3 linked regions of the Caenorhabditis elegans genome follow. The protein of the gene in region 2 interacts with the protein of the main gene of each other region in a pairwise test. Each region holds a gene or a part of one and is shown on either strand. Other genes may lie near its edges.

Region 1 (7,391 bases), on a different chromosome or scaffold from region 2:
CACATCTGGAGATTTTTTCAAACATTCATAATGAAAGGGTGATATTTTGACATTAGATTTCTAGATAATCGTTTCATTTTTTATTCTTGTTCACTACTTATGAAGCTTGAAGAATTGCTCCAAAAGCAATGTTACAGACTCTTGATGTTTCTTGCAAATGTTTGGCCTGAATTTATCTCTGACTTCGGCCTGCTATAGTAATTTCCAAGACAACTAACAGTTTTGCAGCAAAAACCGCAAATCATTTTCAATTTAATTACTGCCATCTTTGCACAGTTTTATAGTTTATTATAGTTTATCAGTGGTTTTTTTAAATCAAAGTGCATTTTTACAATAGTTATTCAAATTTGGTAACATTTGTGAACTTACTACCAAATATACAATTTAAAAAGGTTTTGTAATTTATAAATACCATTAATAAAATTCTCAACATCACTGCAAACATGACTTAAGTTAATATACAAAATTATTTCTCAAATTCCTTCCAGCAAAGAAGTTGTGTCTCATTTCACAAACCCCGAAAGACAACTCCTCGTAGCATCTTTCGGTCTTTCTTCTCGGCGGGTTTTGCTCATTTCCAAACTAATTACTTGCACTGCATCAGTTGGAAAATCCCTCAACACCCATATTCCGGTGGCTTTTGGTAGGTGCTTTGTGATTAGGTTATGCTATTTGTAAGTCACACGAAATGACCTAATTTCGCTGGCTTTTTCTTTTCCTGTCCTTTTAATCTTCTTTTTCAACCATGGCTTTCCGAGGCTTCGTAACCGCATTGTGGCTTTATTGGGAATGAGAATTTTTGAAATTGTTGCTACGAGTTTCGGAGAACATCAGTACATCAGTACATCAATGAGTAGCAGAATGAAACAGGAACCCAAAAACCAACTCAAATAAAATATTATTTGAAAATTTGAAAAAAATGTACCAAGAGGTACCCTGAAAGTTGGGAATGTGTGGCCAATGTGATACGTCTTTGAATTTATTTTAAAATTCAGTTGCAGCTTCTTAACGAACTTTTTTCGAATTTTTACCATTTTTTTACAGCGGCTATTAATTGACATTTAATCAGTCATTCTTCATTGAACAAATTTTTTGGCATTAATTTTGCGTTGTTTCTCAGTTAAAGAAGGACTAACAGTTCGGACGATTTGAAATGTATAGACCCAAAACAAGCTTAAATGAACGATATTCGTGATTAAGCTTCTCAAAAAAAAATTTCGAAAAATTTTTATGGCGGTTCAAAATTTCGACAAAATTGCACTGATTTTAGCTGGAATCTCGAAATTTTTCCCACTTTTCTGTGTCGCATCAGTCCGATGTTGACTTTTTGCATATTCTGGTAGTTTATATTGTTCAATATCTCCAAATAAGGTACATTTAAAGCCGATAGCTTACAAATTTCAATGATTTTTGAAAAAAAAATGGGTGCAAAAATTTTGTGACTGTTTCACACATCAACCGAAAAATTATCTCCTAGCATGAAAGAGCATGATGAACCAGACAAATCTCGTCAGACCCATAATAGTCCAAAATTACCAAATATTTAAAAACTAATTATATAAGTTCCAAAGTTTTGGTAAACTGCCAAACTTTTGAACTGAAAGTACCATAAAGCTGCATTCAAATTTTTTCTACTTGCTATATTAATTTTTTTTAATTGAAAAATTTTGCTCTACAAATGTACTGAATTTTTTAAAAACCGTGTTTACTTGCAATTTTAAAGTTATCGGGTCTGACTTGAGTGCGTGTTAATAAAATTTGATAAACGAGTTTCAATATTAAACATTGTTTATTAATAAGGCTAGGCTACTCACCGAAAGCATTTCAAAAATGACAGAAAAAAACAACTGTTAATTGAAAAAAGGGAAATTTGAATAAAGCAAAAAAGCAAATACATCATATGTGCGTGTAACATCGCAATACCATAAAATTATGGAAAAGGAACTGAAAAAGAACAGATATGTATAAAACGTCTGACCATTAGCGATATAAACAATAATCAGTACATAATGTATGTGTTTTGAAAAAAGGATGACAATTGATGTTGAGGCTTGTTTAAGGATAAGAGATCAATCATCGAGTTTGTGAACTGTGTTAATGAAATTGAGGTAAGGAAAAATGTCAGTAGATAGAAAGGAATTTTTTACTAAATACAAAAAACCAAAGGTAACCAGCACAATTCTCATTGTCCTTATTACCTTTGAATACAAGAATTTCACACAAATTATGACACGCTCAAATTCAGTACTTTCTCCTCTTCATCATCAGCTTCCTCCATTTCCTCGCCCATCTCTGCTTTGATCGCGAGCAGCTCGGCGGGTAATCTAAAAAAAGCACAGTTTTATTTGATTGCACAATTTTGTTTGTGAACATGCCTAAACACGTTGAGAAATTCATCGGAAGAGTCGAGATACCCGTTGCTCGTCGGAGGTGTCATGTATCCTTTCGGGGAGAGATCCGATGAAATTTGAGAAGCAGACACTGCAATTGTTACGGTTGGTTTGATGGAAAAAGGGGGGGAGGGGGGTACTGTAGCATTTCAAAAGGAACAACCAACGAGAAAATGGTGTCCTTGATTGGCTGAAATTTGAGTGAAAAACGAACCGCATTCTTCGGGGTGGCCCGGATGGTGACTCTCGCGGTGCCGACGGCGGTCCACTTTGCGTTGGAACGTCCGACCACATACATCACAGGCAAATGGCTGAAGATAATGACCTCATTTTTAAAGAATAAGGAAAGGAGAACTGTTACCTTAAATCCAGTGTGTTTTCGTGTGTGGGTGATAAGGTTAGAAGACTGACTGAACGCTTTTCCACATACAGTACACTTGTGTGGTTTTTCACCTGAAAATAAAGTATGGGAAGTTTTAGATTAGACATTTTATTTTGTGTAATAAATTTTGGGCACGGGTGGCTAAGTGGTAGTGGTGTAGCACTGTCGCCCAAGAGGTCGCAAGTTCAATCCCACCACACCCCAAAAGCTCACCCAGCCGGCGTGGAAAGTGGGTAGTGAATTTGGTTCACGAAAGGTAAATCGGAGCATACTGCTAGTCCCGGTACGGCCTTAATTCAGACTAGAAGAGATATAAACGCAACCAGTAACCCTGATAAATCTCTGGGCCGCAGGAGGCTTCGGCTCACCCTTGAACCAAACGGACAACCTTTGTCTTTTTTTTTTAATTTTGTGTAATAAATTTTCAAACTATATTTAGAACTCAGCAGTCAAAATATAATTTTTTTTTGAAACCCTGTTTTAGGGGGAATTTGTATTTTATAAAATAAGTGAATTACTTTTCACTACAAACTTTCAATGCGTCCATGAAAAATATATGTTTTATTTTCAAAGGCAACGTTTAATTTATAGCAATTGTCTCAAATTGAACCTTAAAAAAATACAAATTTTGTTATTATTCTGTTGCACAGCAAAACCCCGTCTAGAGATGGAATCCCAAAGTTTTCATTGCTTCTTTTTCTTGTCAACTTCTGTAGATTGCTTTGCTTGTCAGCATACAAGATTTAATTTGTTTTTAATTTTCAAACGTCATTCAAAGAATCTTTTCTCTCCGCGCTTATCCAATACCCTACCCCTACCCCCCCCCCCCTACTTCCAACCTTTGACATCTCCCCTCAGAATTTTAATTTGAAGCAATTTTGCAATGTTCAAGCTGTGTTGAGCTCAGCGATGCTCCTCGCTGTGGTTTACTGCCTCTCGGGGAGTCTGTTAGTTGAGGATGGGGGGGAGGGGGATAGCAAAAACGCGATTTAATATTCAATTTTGATTTGTGTTGCGGAACGGTAGGGAGGAGGGGCACTGACATGACTCGACTCTTTCATACTGATTCATCAATCATACTTAGAGATGAGCAGGGCGCGCAGAAAAGAAGAGGAGGCTCATGTGCACACGCATCTGACAACTTTTCGATTCATAATAAACCAGAATAACGATTTCTCTTCTTTCAGAGTTGAATTTTCAATGAATCGTGTTAAGCGAAAATAAACGATGATTGCTTAAAACGAGTTGAAATTGTAATTGAAAAAGATATGGTGGTTCGCTTCAAAGACAAAATTTGAGTTAATTGAACTTATGAACTAGGGCTTTGAATCTTCTATAAAAAGCATGAAACCTTGCTGGAAACACTTATCAATATTTTTTAAGATAAACTGTCACATAAAGAAATAAGTGATGCCAAACTAGTAGGGAAAAATGGTAACTCAAAAAAAATTAAAAGAAAAGTCATAAAACCTTTTTTATTATTTTCTAAAAACTGGCTACATTGAATATTTATTCAAAAGCTTAAACGAACATATACATATAAAAAATAGGTTTGTCAGAAAATCCCACGTTTTTGAAGTACTCATGTATCATATTGCAAGCAAAATTTATATCGATTTTACGCCGTAGTGTCTCCTGCATCACAGCTAGTTTTATAATTTCAACATCCTAATGCGAGACCATGTCATAGAGGATTTTGTGTTTTTGAGCACAATGTACAATATAGGCAATTTAGTGGTTTGGGTGCAAAATACATACGTTCAGCGTGTTTGTAATTATTAAATTTTGTATTTCATTGGGAATAATTAATTTTAACCTAACTTTATGAGCAGAATTGCGTTATTATTTGCTGTTATAAATATTATCTTTATCGATAAATCTAGGATATCCTATCAATTTTACCAACATACCTGTATGAATATATGTGTGTTTTTTCATGTCCGACTTCTGATGAAATCTTTTTCCACAGTATTCACATGGATACGGCCTTGTGTCGGAGTGAATCAGAAGGTGTGTAGATAAGGTGGAAGATCTGAAATTGAAATTTACTTTTTTTTAAATTATGTTTTCATGATAATTAAAGTGCATACCTTTTGAAGGTTTTTCCACACTGCTTGCACTCAAATTGCTTATCGCTGACGTGTACTTGTTGGTGTTGCTGAAAAGTTTTAAATTTTTGAAAATTATTTTAAAAATACTGGTTTCACCTCTAGAGCAGCTATGGTAGAAAATAATTTTGTGCATTTTTGGCAATGAAACGGTTTGATTTCCACTGGAGGTGTCGGTGTTCGATTCCAAACTGAAGCTTAAAATACATATTAATGTGAATAGATAAATGTTCAAAAAGCTTGATACCTGATGGTGATTCAGGGTTCTGAGGGATGATACCCATTGCCATACTCCTCAGGTATTGCTGCCAGAACATGGGAGCGTTGAGAAATCCGAATGGAAAATTTCCAAGAATATTTACAGGAGGAGGACGGGGCATTGCTGAAATGAAACTTGATAGTTGGAAACTCGGAGGTTCTAGCATACTTTGCTGCATCATGAGGAGCTTTTGTTGTAGTGATATGGTAGCGGCCATTCTCTGCCAAGAACTCATCACATCTTCTGTGATCATGAACTCATTTCTATCTTCAATTGATTCTGAAAATGTCGTTATTTTTGAATTAAAATAGATTTATGCACAAACCTGTTGGTGAAACACTAGACTTTTCCACGTTCGAGAGTAACGATTCAACAGAATAGACATTTGACACGTGCTCAGTGCTCATCTTCGTCTCAACACACAAAAAATGAATAAGGGAGTAGGACGAGGACGAATCTCTGGAAACGCGTGCCTTGAATAAAAATTTTTGAAATCTTGAAATTCGAATTTGGCACCCTGTTCGCTGAGCCACTGAAAAAAAAGAAACGAAAATCTTTGTGATTTCTAGAGAATTGGATTAAATGAGACAAGAACAGCGGATGGGAAAACAAGAAGATGAAGACGTCAAATCAAGGGTCCATAGGGATTTCTGAGGATTTAGAAAAAGACGAAATCAAGGCCAATTAGGAACTTTGGAATGGATTAAAGATTTGAAACTGGAAAGTTAGCAGGAAGTGAAAACGAGTTGAATCTTTCTTTTTTTTTTCAAAGCCATTGTCATTTGTGCTCGGCGTAGTGTGAAAATAAGCATATAAATAATAAATATGAACATCAAACTGCATCACATCCCTATAAGCAGAGGGTAAATGGGGGGATGGCTTTGGATGTCCGAGCTGTGACGATTTGAAACTCGAGCTGGTCTACATTCAAAAACCCAACTGTGGAAGAATCTGAATGCATCTCAGCACTGATCCGTCCTCCTCCTCTTCATTTCGACCATGTTGCCCTGCCTCCTATTTTTCCCCTCAGATGCATGTTATTGGATCGCCCCGCCCCAGCAGGCAAAGTGTGCGGCGAGCTCTCGGTTAGCATATTTGTAGACGAGTCGAAAAAAGGGGAAGAGAAGCGTTGGAAAAAGAGCAGAAAGAATCCTTGAGGTCAGGTTTTATGCTCAATCTATTATGCTTGTTTTAATAATCTCATACGATTTACGATGTAGTTCAAGCATGAACTCAAAGTGACATAATCGGAGGCGCGCTGGTGAGTGTGAGCAACACTTTGCTCTTCTTGTCCAGCAAAGGGCATGTAAGGGACATTAATGGAATTTTTAAGAGCGTGAAGCGCAAGAATCTCACTGCCAGAATGCGAAAGTAGGAAATCTGCAAAAAAGAGGAAACGTCGAAAAACTGTTTCATCGAAAATTCATAGAGCTAAAAATCCCACGATTTCTTAGTACAAGGAACTCGAGCTTCAAGAAATAGAGAGCTTTTAGTTGGAAATAATAGAAGTTGATAACTTGAAGCAGGTCGTACAATGTGAAAATTTTACAGTATTTTCACAGTAGTTTAAATATCTCAGAAACTTCTGCAAAACTTGCAGAATTCTAACAAGATCAGTTGTAAATAAATTCACTTTCTGGAGTTGGATTTGGCAGTGCCTGTCAAAAATCTAGTGTCTGCTGCTAATTCGTATTCATTCCCCGTACCGTAATTAGTATTCATGTGCACTATGCGAGCTTGCGCACTCTTCAACATGTGGGAAGACAATCCATTGGAATTTCAATTTCTCGAATCGCATTTCAATCTTTTGGGTTGGCTTCAAAATGGTATACCCATTTCCGAGCTCTTTTCTCCACACTCAACCTTCCATCGCTCCTCCGGTGCTATGCATTTTTAAACGACTTCCCACAGTGATGGCGGGGGGTTCCAGGGATGGAGGAAGAGGGGGGGGGGGGGAAGAGCGAGAAGATTGAAATAAATTGAGTGTCATCCTAATGCATGAATTTGAGTTGGGTGGGCTCACTGTGTGATGGAAACGACGTGTCGAACAACACCCAGCCAAAATAGCGATATGGGTGTTGAATTGAATGCATACGGTCTTTTGATTTATGGAATTGTTTTTCGTGTTGGGTTAATTAGAAAAGAAGAAGTCCGTGAAAAATGGAAAAAAGTCTAAGAAATAGTTAGGTTTATGAGCATTTGGGGAGCTATCTTAGGTCAAGTTTTGGATGTTTTACAAAAATGTTAACATT
Region 2 (6,792 bases):
TTTTTTTAACAGTTTTTTTGCGACCAGCCTGCATAATATTTTTTTAATATTGCAGAAAAGCTACACTTTTTTAGTTTCAGTTATTTAATTGATTTGCTTTTTTCTATGCTCCAAATTTGCTGGTCAACTCATTTTGACCATTTTGACTAATTTTTCGATAGCTTTATTATTTCTAGTTTGTTACTTTAATTCCTATTTCAAGTCATCGTCAACAATACTGACCTCCAAAGAATTGAATTTTCGATGATTTTACTATAACCTTTCAAAGAAAAATATATTGTCATCATACCCGTACAAAACTTGAACTTTTAACCATACTACACACTATTTCCCGTCAAATGGAGTTATCATCGAATTCTTCAAATTTCGACGCCGTTTTTTAATGTGACAATGAGCTAGAGGCTTATCACGGATTATTTATAGAACGCTGTGCATCAACTGATAACCGAACAGACTGAAATATTGATGAATGGGTCTAAATATGAATTGGATTTTCTCCCTATTTGCACCAAGATCGACTGTAATATGTGTAGATATTTTATTTTAAGTTGCTCTAAATGACCAGAGAGTTTAGACCAAAACGACTAAGAATATATAAATTGAGGAACATTTAGGAAAAGTAATTTATATTATTTTATTTATATTTCTTGGCATAAAATGTATTTAAATAAAAACAGTCCGTGTCCAGTTTTGAGAGATTGCACCGATTTTTTTTCTAATTAGAAAAGTGGTTTATATGTAGAGATTTTTGAACTATGCAATGATTGCAGTTGATCTGATAAATAACACACGAGTAGTCCGTGTTTCAATTTGCTGTTAGTCTTTCTGAAAACGTGGCAATTATAACCTTGAAGGATCTTTAGTGCCAAAAAACCTTTGTGTTGCTCCCCTGTAGAACACAAACTAATTGGTAATTTTTTGCTTAACAAATAAAGTTGTCATGCTCTTTAGAGGCCCAACAAAAAGGAGGGCTGATATGTGCAATTGTGGTTTTGAAAACTTTGCAGTCACGCACGGCCTGAAATTCTGGGGACAACGGGCTCACGATGTATTTAAAACATTGACGAGTTAGCTTCTTGTATTGTTTAAAATTATCCGTCTGCAACATATTAAACGATTTTCAGACATTTCCATCACCGAAAAGACATATTCGTATTATAATAGATACTGATTATCCGTAGGTAATGATAATTTGATCGTCAACGCCCTAAGGTACATCGTTGAATCACTTTTATTCATGTCTAGTTTTGATATGGAAAGTTGTTCAACTCATCATAAAGTTACGATTACCAGTGATCCAAAAGAAAGTGTGTCACAAGGTTATAACTAGAAGTGTAAGTGGGTCTGTGAAAATGTTATTTTTCTGAGAACAAGGCCATGTCCAAAGGGTTTGCAACTAAATTCAGACGGTACGCAAGATTTGAAACGTACATATCTTAATTTTCTGGAAAATTTGCTCTCTTGGCTTTAGTTTCCAACAAAGTTGGGATGGTTGAAGGCATCCACGTTTATGAAGATTTATAGAAATTTTCCAAAAAAAAAAGTGATAATCCTTACAACTAAAATTAAAGATTTAATCTCTAGAAGTAATCATTTCGCAAGTGTCTTTAACATACGAAACCCAGTCAATATCTCCATTTGCTCGAATGCTGACATGATTCAGAAATTGCTTAACTTCTTGTGGAGTCAATGGTTCTCCAATTGAAGTGAGCAATTGCAATAATGTATCTTTTTGAACATAATTATTAGATGTTATTACTTGAAATGCAGCATGGATTTGTTTCGGAGTATCATCTTTCCATTCTTCATTTTGAATTGCCAATACGACACGGGGCAGAAGGTCATCGAATGAAACTCTTCCATTTTTCTTTGCAGTTTGTTCACTGACCAATTGCAATTCCGTTTGACTGGGGTTCAATCCAAAGCTTCGGAGAACGTGACTCACATCGTCGGTCTGGAATTTCAGTTTAAGAAAGATTTAAAAGATTCAGTGGAGACATTTTAAAGATTCAGTGGATTTAAAAGATTCAGTGGAGGTCCATAATAGCCGAATATCATAATAAAACTCTCCAAAAAGTATTTCGACTTTTGAAAAATTTGAGTCAGTTTTTACCAAATTTTTCAAAAAATGTGAACTTTTTGAGATATTTCATGCATTGGCGCGGGTTTGAATCTCTAAACTGTTACAATAAAAATAACCAAAACAATACTAGAATATCGAAAACAAAGAAAACCTATAGAGATGCAAATTGAGTTTTCAACGAATATCAATAAGAAATTTTCAGCTATAGGTACAACTTTTATATTGACGACGCTCCTACTAATTGGAAGAGCCAGGAGAAACATTTAAGAGTTTATGAAGTATGAAAAATAACTTCATGCACTCGAGGCGTGTTCGCCTCTTCACTCACCCTACTGAAGGGCGCGAGGAAGGCGAGTGGGAAGGCGGGAATAGGCTCCCCGTGACGCCTACACTAGGTGGAATGTCTATTTGATCCGGTTCTTAATGATATAAATGAGTAGAAAGTTGGAGAAAAGCACCACGTGAAAAGCCAAGTTTCAACAGTAACTACAGTAATCCTCACTTCAATCAAACCATCAGAATCCTCGTCAAACATCTTGAATACATCGAAAAGACGACGTCGAATATCTTCTGAACTTCCTTTTTTGTTTAAATTGGACAAAATATTACAAACCAACAATTACAGAATCTACTTCTTCTTTTTGGCTCTCATTTTCCCCTTCTTCTTCAATGTTTAATAAATCTTCATCTTCGCTCAGATCCATAATTTAGCTGAATACTAATATAATGTAGATCGCTCTAGTTGTTGCGCGAGTTTAGTGGTCTTTTCTGTCGGAAATATACGTTTTCTGGTTGAATAATTTTTATATTAAATACTACAAAAACGGAAATTGAATTCTAAAGCATGACAAATATAAAAATGAAGAGAAAAATTGAATTAGAGAGACAAAGAGCAAAACAAGTTAAACATATGACAGAGAACATTTGGAAGGTTTAATGAAAAGCGACGAGCATCCTGATTTATGAAGGTGTGGGTCGGTAATGGTTCATATTGGGAGAACATCGAAGTGATTAAATTTTGATTTGCCAGTGAACGACAAAAAATGAATAAAACAAGAGAAATAGAGAATAGGGTAGACCCGGTGAGGATTTGTTTTTTTTTTCTTAACTTGGAGCAATAGAAAAGGAGAAATTTAGATCAGAAATGGAGGGCAACGAGACCATTGAAAAGTACACGATTAGGAGAAGAATAAAATTTCTCATAGAGAAGTGAGGATCACGGACGGCCAATAGGCAGTGCTGGAGGAGGCATCAACTCGCGATCCTTGTCTTCCTGAAAATGATAATTTTGCTTTAGATCAAAAGGATCACAGAACCGTAAATCAAATTACATCTTTAGAACATTTTGATTCTATGTCTAAACTTTTCAAATATTACCTTGGCTATATTCCTAGAAGCTTCCTCGTAGAGATCATCATCAATACATTTTTCAGGTTTTAACTTCTTTGGGCGTCCTCGCTTTGGTCTGTCTTCTCCATCACCATCAGTAGATGCTCGTTTTAATCCTGTGAGACGTTGTCCTTCAGAATCTTTTTTCGAGTATTTGAGCATTCCTAGCATACCATTTACGAGTTGAGTTGTCGGAGTGCTAGGAGAAAGTGGTACGGTGGCTGTGAGTTCTTGAACTACTGGATAATTGGATGGAATCCCTTGAAGATAAAGTGGAAGTGGTGCTGCTGGGGATTGCGGATCAACTAAATAAGGAGAAATAGTTCCATCTTCTTGTTTCAATGCTTGTTGATCCATTTGCATCATTTGCATCTGCGCATTGGCAAGAATTGCACTAGCAAAATCTGAATTTTGTTGCTCTTGGAGCATTTGCTGTCCTCTCAATGTCATGCCGGTACGTGCAGTATTCAATTCAGATGCTTGCTGTGGAAGTGCAACATCTTTGAAGACTGATTCTAGAAATGAAAAGTGTGGAGTGTTGAGAACCGCCTGCTTCATGTGTTGAGGGTTTAGCGTCTTTGAAGATGTGAATTGAGTAGCTTCTGCGGCAGCCTCAAATATATATTCAAGGTTCAAAATAACTATGACTGAGTCTTCTCACCTGTAAAAACTTCTCCGCAAAATGCTCCATTGCTCTTCCGATGCTGACAGGAACTGACTGAACCATTCTTCCGATATCCTCATCACTTTGCATAACCTTCTTTATGCGTGTTGGCTGAATTTTTGCAGTGCTGAAACGACGTCTTCGGATCACAGCAGCTGCCTGTTGCTGCTGTTGGTTGCTGCTACCTGTTGATGATGAAGCACCGGCTGATGAAGTGGATGCCAACGTTGACATTTTTTCTGAAAAATAAATTTAAATAACGATTTGATCCTAATCTGTTAATTCTTAGATATTACATCTACAAATTGTTTTAAGTCGCATATTTTTTGAAGTTTCTAGATAGTTCATGATCCAGAAATGATGCCGGATACTGACGGTTTTACCCAAAACAAATTAAGGGTTTTTGAAAATAAATAAGCTTTCATTTTAAGATTTTATGAATGTACGTTTTCCGATTATCTATAATCGAGTTTCTTTTTTGTTCCATCCACCCTAAAAGATAAGGTCAAAACTAACGAGTAGCCGATGCATAATTGACGGGTAACATCGGCACCGCAAAGCCAACATCGCTTCCTCTATTCTGATCCATCTTGTTTTCTCCTCTCTCGAAATATGTATTCTCTGGTTTCCTTCCAAAAGTGTCAGTGTCTCCGACGGAAACGTTGCTGACGAGAGAAGACGATGTTGTGGAGATTTGGAGGCACAAAATGAGAGAGAGAAAGAACGAACAACGGGTGGTTTTCGAGAGATATAGAACTATTCCGAAGACGTCATCGATGATGGGCCTGAGACTAACTGAAAGTTGGAAGCTACTGTATAATACTCTTGAGGTAAAGCGATGAAATGAGAGATTATTGAACCATGAAAGAAGGACATGATGTTTCATTCATAGAAGCTCTCTTAACAACTTTGGAAAAGACATTTAGAGCCCATGAATAATCAACGCAAACTTTTTTTTCTAAAATTAATGGTCACTATTTGATATTGATTGGAATTATTAAAATATTCTGTGCTCAGTAACAAAGGGATTCAGATAATTAGATTTTGTTATATTTCATTTCCCGTTAGAGCAACTCCGTTTCGCAACAAGTGTGTTATGTTCTATATGTTCTGTATGTACACAGCCGTTCGGGTCTCATCGATCACTATAACAATATAGATCATCACATCAGTACAACAATTGATAACAAAAAAGAGGCGTGATGGTATCTTCCTTTTTTCTATTTCTCGCTTTCATTTTGGTTATTTCATTCTTTAATGATAACGCCATTTATTCCATTCTGCGTCGTGTCGATTCGATTCGATGTCAACGCACACACACACACTTACACATCTACTGGCCAGGACTGGAGGAGAGCGCGTAAAGACGAGTGATTGAGCGCTTCGGTGAGGAGACGAGAGAATCTAAGGGAAATAGTGTATAAAGAGGAGATAGAAGGGGGAAAAACGGAGAATAGGAGCAGAAAGGCGCTGGCCGATCACACGCAGACCTCGCGTTCTTCCCTCCTTTATATACAGCGGACAAATCGGTGATTCGCAGGTCTGCGCGACTACGGTACCCGCTGCTTGTTCTGCGTCTCCACGTGTCGTTTCACTACCTTTTCCCCCTTTTATTTAGCGTGCGCCCGCGCCGCGCCGATGTTTGAGAGTCTTTGATGCAGCTGTACGGGCCGAGATGAGAGGGAAGAGAAGATGAGAGAAGCAGAGAGTTGAGGGAAAGAACATAGACTCCTCCTCCGCATACTCGATTTGTATGTTTTTGTGTGGACAGACGGACAGATGGATAGATGGCTGATTTGTCAGCTTGCCGTCGAATTATTGATTGTTCTTTTGTGAAGCAAAGTCGAGATATTGAAATGATGAAATTATCTTAACTGTTCAGTATTTGCATAAAGAATTATTGAACGGATATTTTTGCAATTGTTGCCTATGAGGTGATTGAGATCTTTTTGCGAATTTTTATTCTCCAATTTACTAGAAAAAAAACTTAGAGGCAAATTTGCGCAAACATTTTTAAGTTCAGACCAGGATGGGCGGCAAAAGAACATTTTCGGCAAATATATTGATCGACATTGATCAAGTTAAAAATTTGGCCAAATGTCTTGTGCACATTTAAAATATTTTGAAAAAAATCTACAAATGAAAGAAAATTTAATTCGTACAGCAGTGAAGTTTTTGTGGCAAAAGATTTATCTAATTTTTCTTTGTATATTAACTTATAAAAATTTACAGATTTTCAGATTTTCTTCTTGGATATGAACATTTTTAGAGAATTTTCAATTTCCCAGCAATCGGCATTTTTGGAAATTGATGAATTGATGAACTTTCGATAACTCAGTATTTTCCGCAATTGTTTAACTGTCAAAATAGCGAAATTGGAATTGTCGCCCAGCTGGTTCAGACTACTTAGAATTAATAGAAAATGTGATATCTTTTCAGAAAAAAAAATCAGAAATTCAGTCGACGATTGAATTCAACATTGTTTTTCGGAAAGAACGAAATTGAACACGAATTTACTATTTAATTATGCAGAGTTTTTTAGTTTATCGATTTTCAATATTAAATTTTAACCAATAAAAGAACTCACCAGTGACAATTGGCTGCTGCTGAAGTCTCAAATGGCTTTCACGTCGTCGAAGTATCTGAAATATTACTA
Region 3 (7,036 bases), on a different chromosome or scaffold from region 2:
TCAGGCGCCGTTCCGTCGATTCCGCCATTTCACCGCCGACACACACACGTTGAAATGATGGAAAAACCCCTTTTGATGAGAGGAACGGGCGGTATGTGAAAACAGACTGATGAGTGATTTATTGAGAAAATGTCAATGAAATTTAGTGTTGAAATTTTGGAATTTGTGACAGGCAGGCAGGATCCTGGCGCCTACCTGCCTGCCTGTCGTGTCTTGTCGGCGTTTTTTTTCAACATAAAAGTTAGAGTTTAAAATTTTAAAAATCGCAAAAATTGAAAATTTTTAAGCGTTAAAATTATAACTTTAGTTTAAACAACTTTAGACGAAAAATTCAAATTTTTAACTTTTCAAAAAACATTTTTGTTCGGGAATTTCAAAGTGTTAATTTTTAGAAAATTATTTGGCATAAAAAATTTATAATAAAATTGTTTAAAGAATCATGATTTAAAAAAAGCTAGCATTTGAACAAAAAAAACAATTTCTAAATATTTTTCCCTACAATACATCTACCGTACCACTATCATATCTACAGTAAAATATCAAATCCGCTGCTAACTTTAAGAAAAACTCTTTATATTTGCAAAATAGTATGAAGATTTTAATTTTTTATTCACTAAAAGTACAATTTACAGTAAAAAAGATAGTATATCAATATGATAGGAATCTAATTATAAATAAAAAAGACGGGCACCCGGTTGGCCGTTGGATTAAAATGAAAAGACGAAAAAAACTGGAATCGGTGAAATTGAGTTGAAGACATGAGGAAGGGAAAGAAAGTTTTAAAGAAATGAGGAAAAGCACACAGGTTGAAGGGAGTTTTAAAGAAGATCGGTAGAGATCTGAACAGTTAAAGTAAGTTTTTTTTTCAGAAGTAAGTATTCAGAAAGTAAACTGGCTCTGATCTCAAGGAATCGCGCCAAAAATCTAGTTTTCCGCGATTTCTAGAGATCAAACGGGACCTTCTGAATACATCATTTATTTGATAGAATCATTCAATTCAGCTGGGATTTCATTTTAATTGAATTTAAAATGTTACATTAAATTTAAATTTTTAAAAAATTGAATGAAAATCTCAAACAAATGTCTAAAATGATAATAAAGTCTTCTACACCTGAAAATGAGGGTTTTGGAAGGCATTTGAAAATGTAAAAATGAGCAGACTATCGCCGAATCTTGCAGGGGCACTAATATGGTGTAGCCGATGAGGTCAGATGATGCGGTGATTTATATGTTGGGTTGGTAGAGCTGCAAAATTTTCAGATTATGGAAAAGTTTTACTTTATTATTGTGTGCCTACTTGCCTGCCTACGTGCCTACCGCCTATTTTTTTTACTGCAAGTCGCATTGTAGGTAGAGAAGCAGGCGGCTTTGTATTTTGTAAAAATTAGACAGAGAATTGCAAAGCTCAGAAGAACCAAGTTTTTCTTTACGGTTCTGTTTCAAAATTATCTTCAAGTTAGTTGCAAAATGACTAAATACTGGCTCCACCCAAGAGTGTATTCAGAATTTGTTTCCAATTTTTCTATTTAAAAAAAATTATCGGGGTTTTCCGAGAAAATCAAACAATTAAAAAAACCGTACAGTTTATAAAACCAGGAAACTATTGGATTATAGTAAAGTCAAGAAATTATTTTAAATACGAAATTTGCCAAAAAATTAGGAGACTTTGTCTGGAAACTCAAAAATACAAAAATTTAACTTTTCGTCGATTGATAATTCTTGGCATTCTGCCATTTTTCAAGTAAAAAACTTTAAAAAAGCAAACGTTCAATATCGATTTATATATCAAAAACCATGAGACCATAGAAAAGTTTGGAAAGAAAAAAACACAAATCATCGAGAAAATCAATATTTTCTAGGCTGACAGCTTATTCAAAAGTGAACATATTTTAGCAAGGTACTACAAGAGCCTTGTAAAAAAGAATTTTTTAAATTAACTGACAGTCAAGAAAAAGGAAATATTATATCCTCAGACATACTTGTAAAGAGTATTCTGGTATACTCCATTTGTGTAGTCAATGCTAGGATAAGCGCCTGCCGTATTGTAGAGCGCATTGTTGGGGAAACCCTGTGACGGTGGGAGAATCGTTGAAAAGTCGGATCCGTAGAGGTAAGGAGAAGCATATTGCTCGTTGAGTGTCATCTGAAAAATATTAGGAATTATTATGCTTTGCGAAAGAGCTTGAAAGCAGACGAAGAGTGTCTGCCTGCGTGCCTACGAGGCAGGCGTGGTCGCCTTCTATGCAAACTCGTACCTGTATCTGTTACACGTATGCGTGTGCTTTTGTCAATGCAGTCACGCAGGCACACACGAGTTTTTGTGCCTACGTAAACTGCTTGAAGGCGGTTGCATTTTCGGACAGCAAAACCGTGCTTTATTTTACAGCAAAATTTCGGTGAAGGATTTTTGCAACTCAAAAAAGTTTTCAAAGAATTATTCAAAATATTTCTAGACTTGGTTATCAGATAATCAGCACATTTCACTAACCGGTGGATATTCCTCTTTCATTTCAGTTTTAATTGAACTAGATACAAGTGTTCTTGGCTCACTGCTCTCCTGAATCATAACCGATTCTCCCATCGGTGGACTTTCAGGCTTTGACTCTTCCGTATCATCATCTTCTTCATCTGATGCATGATCCGAACTTCCACCCTTCTGTTTCTTCTGCTTCGAACGCCGATTTTGGAACCAGATTTTCACCTGGAATTCAGTGATCGGTTGTGCTCTCTAAATTTTAAAAGATTTGTTTAAATTTTTAGCGCAATTTTATTGAAAAGCCCCACATCGGGGCCGGTGTGCCAATTGGTTTCCGATCCGTCGATTTTGCAAAAACTGGGCAATGTATACATAGAGAGATAGACCCTGCGTGTCCCTGTATGACATCCGTGAAAAGACGGAAGAGAGGGAAAAAGAAGAGTAATTAGCCATCCGCTAGTATGTGGTTGAATAGAGGCAAAGATTCCTATAGAGGTCACATTCACTCTTTTCATGAACTAACCGGCTGGATGTCTAACCACAAGAATCAAGTGTACTGTAGAATCACCCCAAAATTTTTGAAAGAAACATGAACTGGGTAAACTGGATTCAGAATCTCAAGTTTTGGCAGAATGATTTATGAACATTGCACCACATTTTTCACGCCGGTTTTAGCGATCTAATTTGAAGCGTAAATCATGGTGCATCGAGGTTGTGTTTTCATATTTTTTGCTCGGTTCGGATTTTTTTTCGATCACGCTACTTTTAAATAATTGGTTTAGAAAATCCACACACAATTTTCCGGACACCCAATACCAATGTGTCACACCTGTCAATCAGGCGTCCGCCCCCCGTCCGTTTCCGCTGACTTTAGATAAAATCTTGGCAGGACACATGTTTCTGTTACGGTATGATTGATATACCCGTATCCCACTTCTCAAAATTCGATAAGCATCTAACACCTGAGCGCGTGTATTCTTAAAGCTTCTTCTCCTATTGACGTGGCATAATTATGTGTTAGTTGAGAGCTTTCTCATTTCATATCCCTCGGGATATCAAAAACAATAATTAAAAGGCGATACCAGCATCTATGTCAAAATTGCGACCGCTTTTCCAAACATTCTTCAATTCTCTAAACTCAATAGCGCGTATAAAACTGGAGGAATGCACGACCTTCTCAAGACACAGTTAATGGTACTGTTTTTACGGTGAATCAAATGAAGACACGTGTGTGTCAGAGGAGGAGGGGGACTTGGATCGAGGGATTAGGAAGATTACGACTGGATTATTACATGATGGTGTGCATTTCGTCAAGGTCATTGATATGGCAGTGGGGTAAGCGGAAATTGTTCGAAAATTGACAGCCAATTTGTTAATTTTCAACTAAATTTTAGAATTTTAAATTACGAAACACACTTACCCCGATGCACCATACTTACGCGCCAGTCACAAAAATTTTAAATAAATTTCGCGCAATTTTTGTAGATCAAACCGCAACCGGACCTTTTTAATTCACGTGCAAAGATTTCAATGTTTCTCGAAAATGCGGGCCTAGTACATCATATCTTACGAGCAAGTTGCATTATATACAAAAATCTCCCCAAAATAACAAAAATAGTTACCTGAGTTTGTGATAATCCCAATTCATGTGCCAATGCTGCTCGATCCGGAAGCGCCAGATATTGTGTTTTTTGGAATCTGAAAATGAATTTGAATTAATAAATTTGCAATTTAAATAATTTTGAAAAAAACAAACTTTTTCTGAAGCATTTGCAGTTGTGATGAGTTGTAAATTGTCCGTGGTTTCCTCATTTTCTTTCCTTTCACGTTGTACTTCGCCTCACATCCTTCCACGATTTTTGTAGTTGTGTGCTCGGGAAAAGCTTCTGCAAACTTTTTTTATAATAACCCCTTTTATGTGCTAATTTTGATGCTATCTATTTCGAAACCAAATCAAAAGCAAATCATAGACCTCCATTTCTAATGATCTAGATATTTGGAGTCAAAGTCAGAAACTCTAGAAAAAGTAACACATTGGATACAAGTGCTAATGTTAGATCGCGTTTGACGTCTTTTACTTTTGACGATATTGGTAAACCTAGAACAATGACGTGTTTTCAAGATCTTTAGTTTAGATTTTGAAATTTTTAAATGAAATTTAAATAAAATTAGTTAACAAGCTTCGACCACGGCAGGATTCGAACCTGCAATCTTCTGCTCCGTAGGCAGACGCGTTATCCATTGCGCCACGCGGCCACAGTTTGAAGATGAAAAAAGGTACTTATCAACTCTCCTAGGTGTCAACAGGAGACCAAGTTAAAGCAGTTGGCAATTTCCAAAGCTTTTTCAATTCCGAGTTTCATACCTTCAGGTGAGCTTCCTGGCCCAGGAGGATACATTGCATAGGCACTCGTTTGCTGTGGTGTACCATACATAGAACCACCAGTTGCTCCATTCGTTGATGACGTCGGATAAGCATGGTAGGGGAAATAAGGGGAAACGTTAGATCCAGCTCCGTTGCTTGTGGGTGGAGCTACTCCAGATGTCTGATAATAATCTCCAGCAACATATTCGAATCCTTTTGATGGGTCCATCTGAAAAAGAAAGTAATTAAAAATATACAAAATTAAGAACTGAAGAAATGAGACGTAATCGGAATAAACACTCTGAAAATGGACAAAAAGGTGAAGAAGTAGAATGAATGAAATTGAAAACTTTTAAAATTCTCACACCATTTGAAAGGTTGCAGTTCTCACACTTTGGTTTTTGCAAGTCTTCGAGAACGACGACAAAACTTTTGATTCATGATTATTCGGTTAGTTTAGTTAGTCTCTACTGTTTAAACAGAGGAGCAGTGCCATGACATTCAACATAACATTATCAGTAATGACGTGGCAAACAAATATTTCGTAGTAGCAAGAGCATCAACTTTTCAAAAATAAAAAAAAACGAATGTGAGATGAGAAAAAAGTTTCGACCACGGCAGGATTCGAACCTGCAATCTTCTGCTCCGTAGGCAGACGCGTTATCCATTGCGCCACGCGGCCACATTGTTTCGCGATGGAGAAGCTGGACAGGAAATTCATCAAGTGATAAGTACATGATAACGATAACAACTTTCATCTAGCATGCATTTTAAACAAAAATCAGTTACCATAAACTTTGAAGACTTAGAATTAGCTGAACTGATGCACCGAAGTCATAACCCTATCATTATGATCCCCAAAAACTTCTCACACCCCCACACAAGATCCAACTTCAACAAATTTCGGGTCAATTATCAACGGCAATTTAAAATTTCAGATGGATGGCAGTTGAGAGAGAGAGAGAGAGACAAGACGATTACCTAAAATTTGAGTGAAAGAAGAAGGAAAAGAAGAAAGGTATGAATTAGGATAATAAGGGAGGAGATGGAAGATTCAGAAGATTCAGATGAAGAAGAAGTAGTTGAAGAAGAAGAAGATTATGATGATGGTAGTGGTGGGAGGGAATGGGCACTAGTAGGCACATACACATAGCACAACACACCATCGCAAAAGGGGGAAGAGAGACGATGCGGGATGTGGAGAGGAGACACCTCAAAACTGATGGGCGGTACGTTGGTTGTGGGCGGAGTAGTCGTCTCCTATTGGACACAGTATTCTCTGGGTGGAGCCATTGGGGTCGCTAGGTGACCATCTTATCAGAAGATTTATCTGAAAACTTTTTCACAACTCGATCCCCTACATATCAAATTGTTTAATGATGATTTCAGAGCGGATGGGGAGAGACAAGACAATTATTTTGGAAAAGTGCCGGGGGGAGAGGCTGGCAGTAGAGAAAAATGGTTGAGGTATAATTTAGCCCAATTATCTTTCAGAGTGTGTGTGCCTCAACAGGGGGACCCCGCCCTATATTGTAGCTAATTGCTGGGTGTACGTGGTGTAGAGAGAATGGATAAAGCGAGAGAAATAGTGAATTGTGGCTGTAATTGCGTGTAGCCAAAAGGGCCTCAATCTTCTCGGTCCCCACCACACCGCCGGCCGTCATCATTCCTTCAGTTGGAACTGAGGCGTTCCCGTGCCCATTTTTTCATGATTTTCAGAATTTTTGATTTTGAAGCTTTTTTGGATAGTTTCTATATCTTGGTCCTTTGCATTTGAGCAAGTTGCCCGTGCACACTCCTGGCGAAGATAACATATGACTGCCTTTCCGAGTACCATCTTGGGGAGACATCTTTGTGTCAGCATGGCTTCCAAAATCTAATTCATTCCTGATTCCAGAATTATCCCCTCAAATCCCTTATATGAGCTCTGTAACACTATTGCTCTTCCAAACTGTACATATTTTATCCAGGTGGTAAAGTCTGTTCTTCCAATCCAGTAAGAGTTGTCACCTAATTAAGAATCCCAACTTTTTCGTTCACAGCTTCAGAATCTTTAAGGTTTTGCCGTCGGCACCATCTGCCATGCTCACGCCAACTGTTCTTTTGTATTTCCATTTTAACTATAGTCTAAAATGGACATTGAGCCACCACACAGTTCCAATTTTTCAATTGTCTGATTTTTTTCGTAGGAACGA

What was found. The genes of interacting proteins can lie anywhere in the genome.
Region 1: the proteins of drap-1 (region 2) and pag-3 interact in a two-hybrid assay, tested with the Caenorhabditis elegans proteins (one large-scale study listed by BioGRID).
Region 3: the proteins of drap-1 (region 2) and ceh-43 interact in a two-hybrid assay, tested with the Caenorhabditis elegans proteins (one large-scale study listed by BioGRID).

The regions. Positions count from the first base shown.
Region 1 is NC_003284.9:14,948,976-14,956,366, forward strand, and holds pag-3 (Zinc finger protein GFI1 homolog pag-3), read right to left. Parts: upstream 5,674-7,391; 5' UTR 5,547-5,673; coding exon 5,465-5,546; intron 5,419-5,464; coding exon 5,308-5,418; intron 5,263-5,307; coding exon 5,128-5,262; intron 5,078-5,127; coding exon 4,980-5,077; intron 4,931-4,979; coding exon 4,863-4,930; intron 4,805-4,862; coding exon 4,683-4,804; intron 3,086-4,682; exon of another isoform or gene 2,936-3,085; intron 2,844-2,935; coding exon 2,752-2,843; intron 2,702-2,751; coding exon 2,605-2,701; intron 2,482-2,604; coding exon 2,376-2,481; intron 2,325-2,375; coding exon 2,225-2,324; 3' UTR 1,777-2,224; downstream 1-1,776. UniProt on the Caenorhabditis elegans protein: Transcription factor. Plays a role in the determination of neuroblast cell fate and neuronal differentiation.
Region 2 is NC_003283.11:9,730,098-9,736,889, reverse strand, and holds drap-1 (Transcription factor CBF/NF-Y/archaeal histone domain-containing protein), read right to left. Parts: upstream 4,932-6,792; 5' UTR 4,726-4,931; coding exon 4,653-4,725; intron 4,376-4,652; coding exon 4,134-4,375; intron 4,085-4,133; coding exon 3,461-4,084; intron 3,357-3,460; coding exon 3,300-3,356; 3' UTR 2,868-3,299; downstream 1-2,867. Other genes in the region: cal-7 (EF-hand domain-containing protein), read right to left, coding at 1,574-1,954, 2,586-2,653, 2,697-2,787.
Region 3 is NC_003281.10:4,444,874-4,451,909, forward strand, and holds ceh-43 (Homeobox domain-containing protein), read right to left. Parts: upstream 5,071-7,036; coding exon 4,842-5,070; intron 4,737-4,841; exon of another isoform or gene 4,658-4,736; intron 4,363-4,657; coding exon 4,233-4,362; intron 4,175-4,232; coding exon 4,099-4,174; intron 2,729-4,098; coding exon 2,489-2,728; intron 2,144-2,488; coding exon 1,970-2,143; 3' UTR 1,777-1,969; downstream 1-1,776. UniProt on the Caenorhabditis elegans protein: Probable transcription factor. Binds to the sequence motif 5'-ATAAT-3' in regulatory elements. Required for development of the anterior hypodermis during embryonic morphogenesis for cell adhesion; also affects embryonic and larval viability.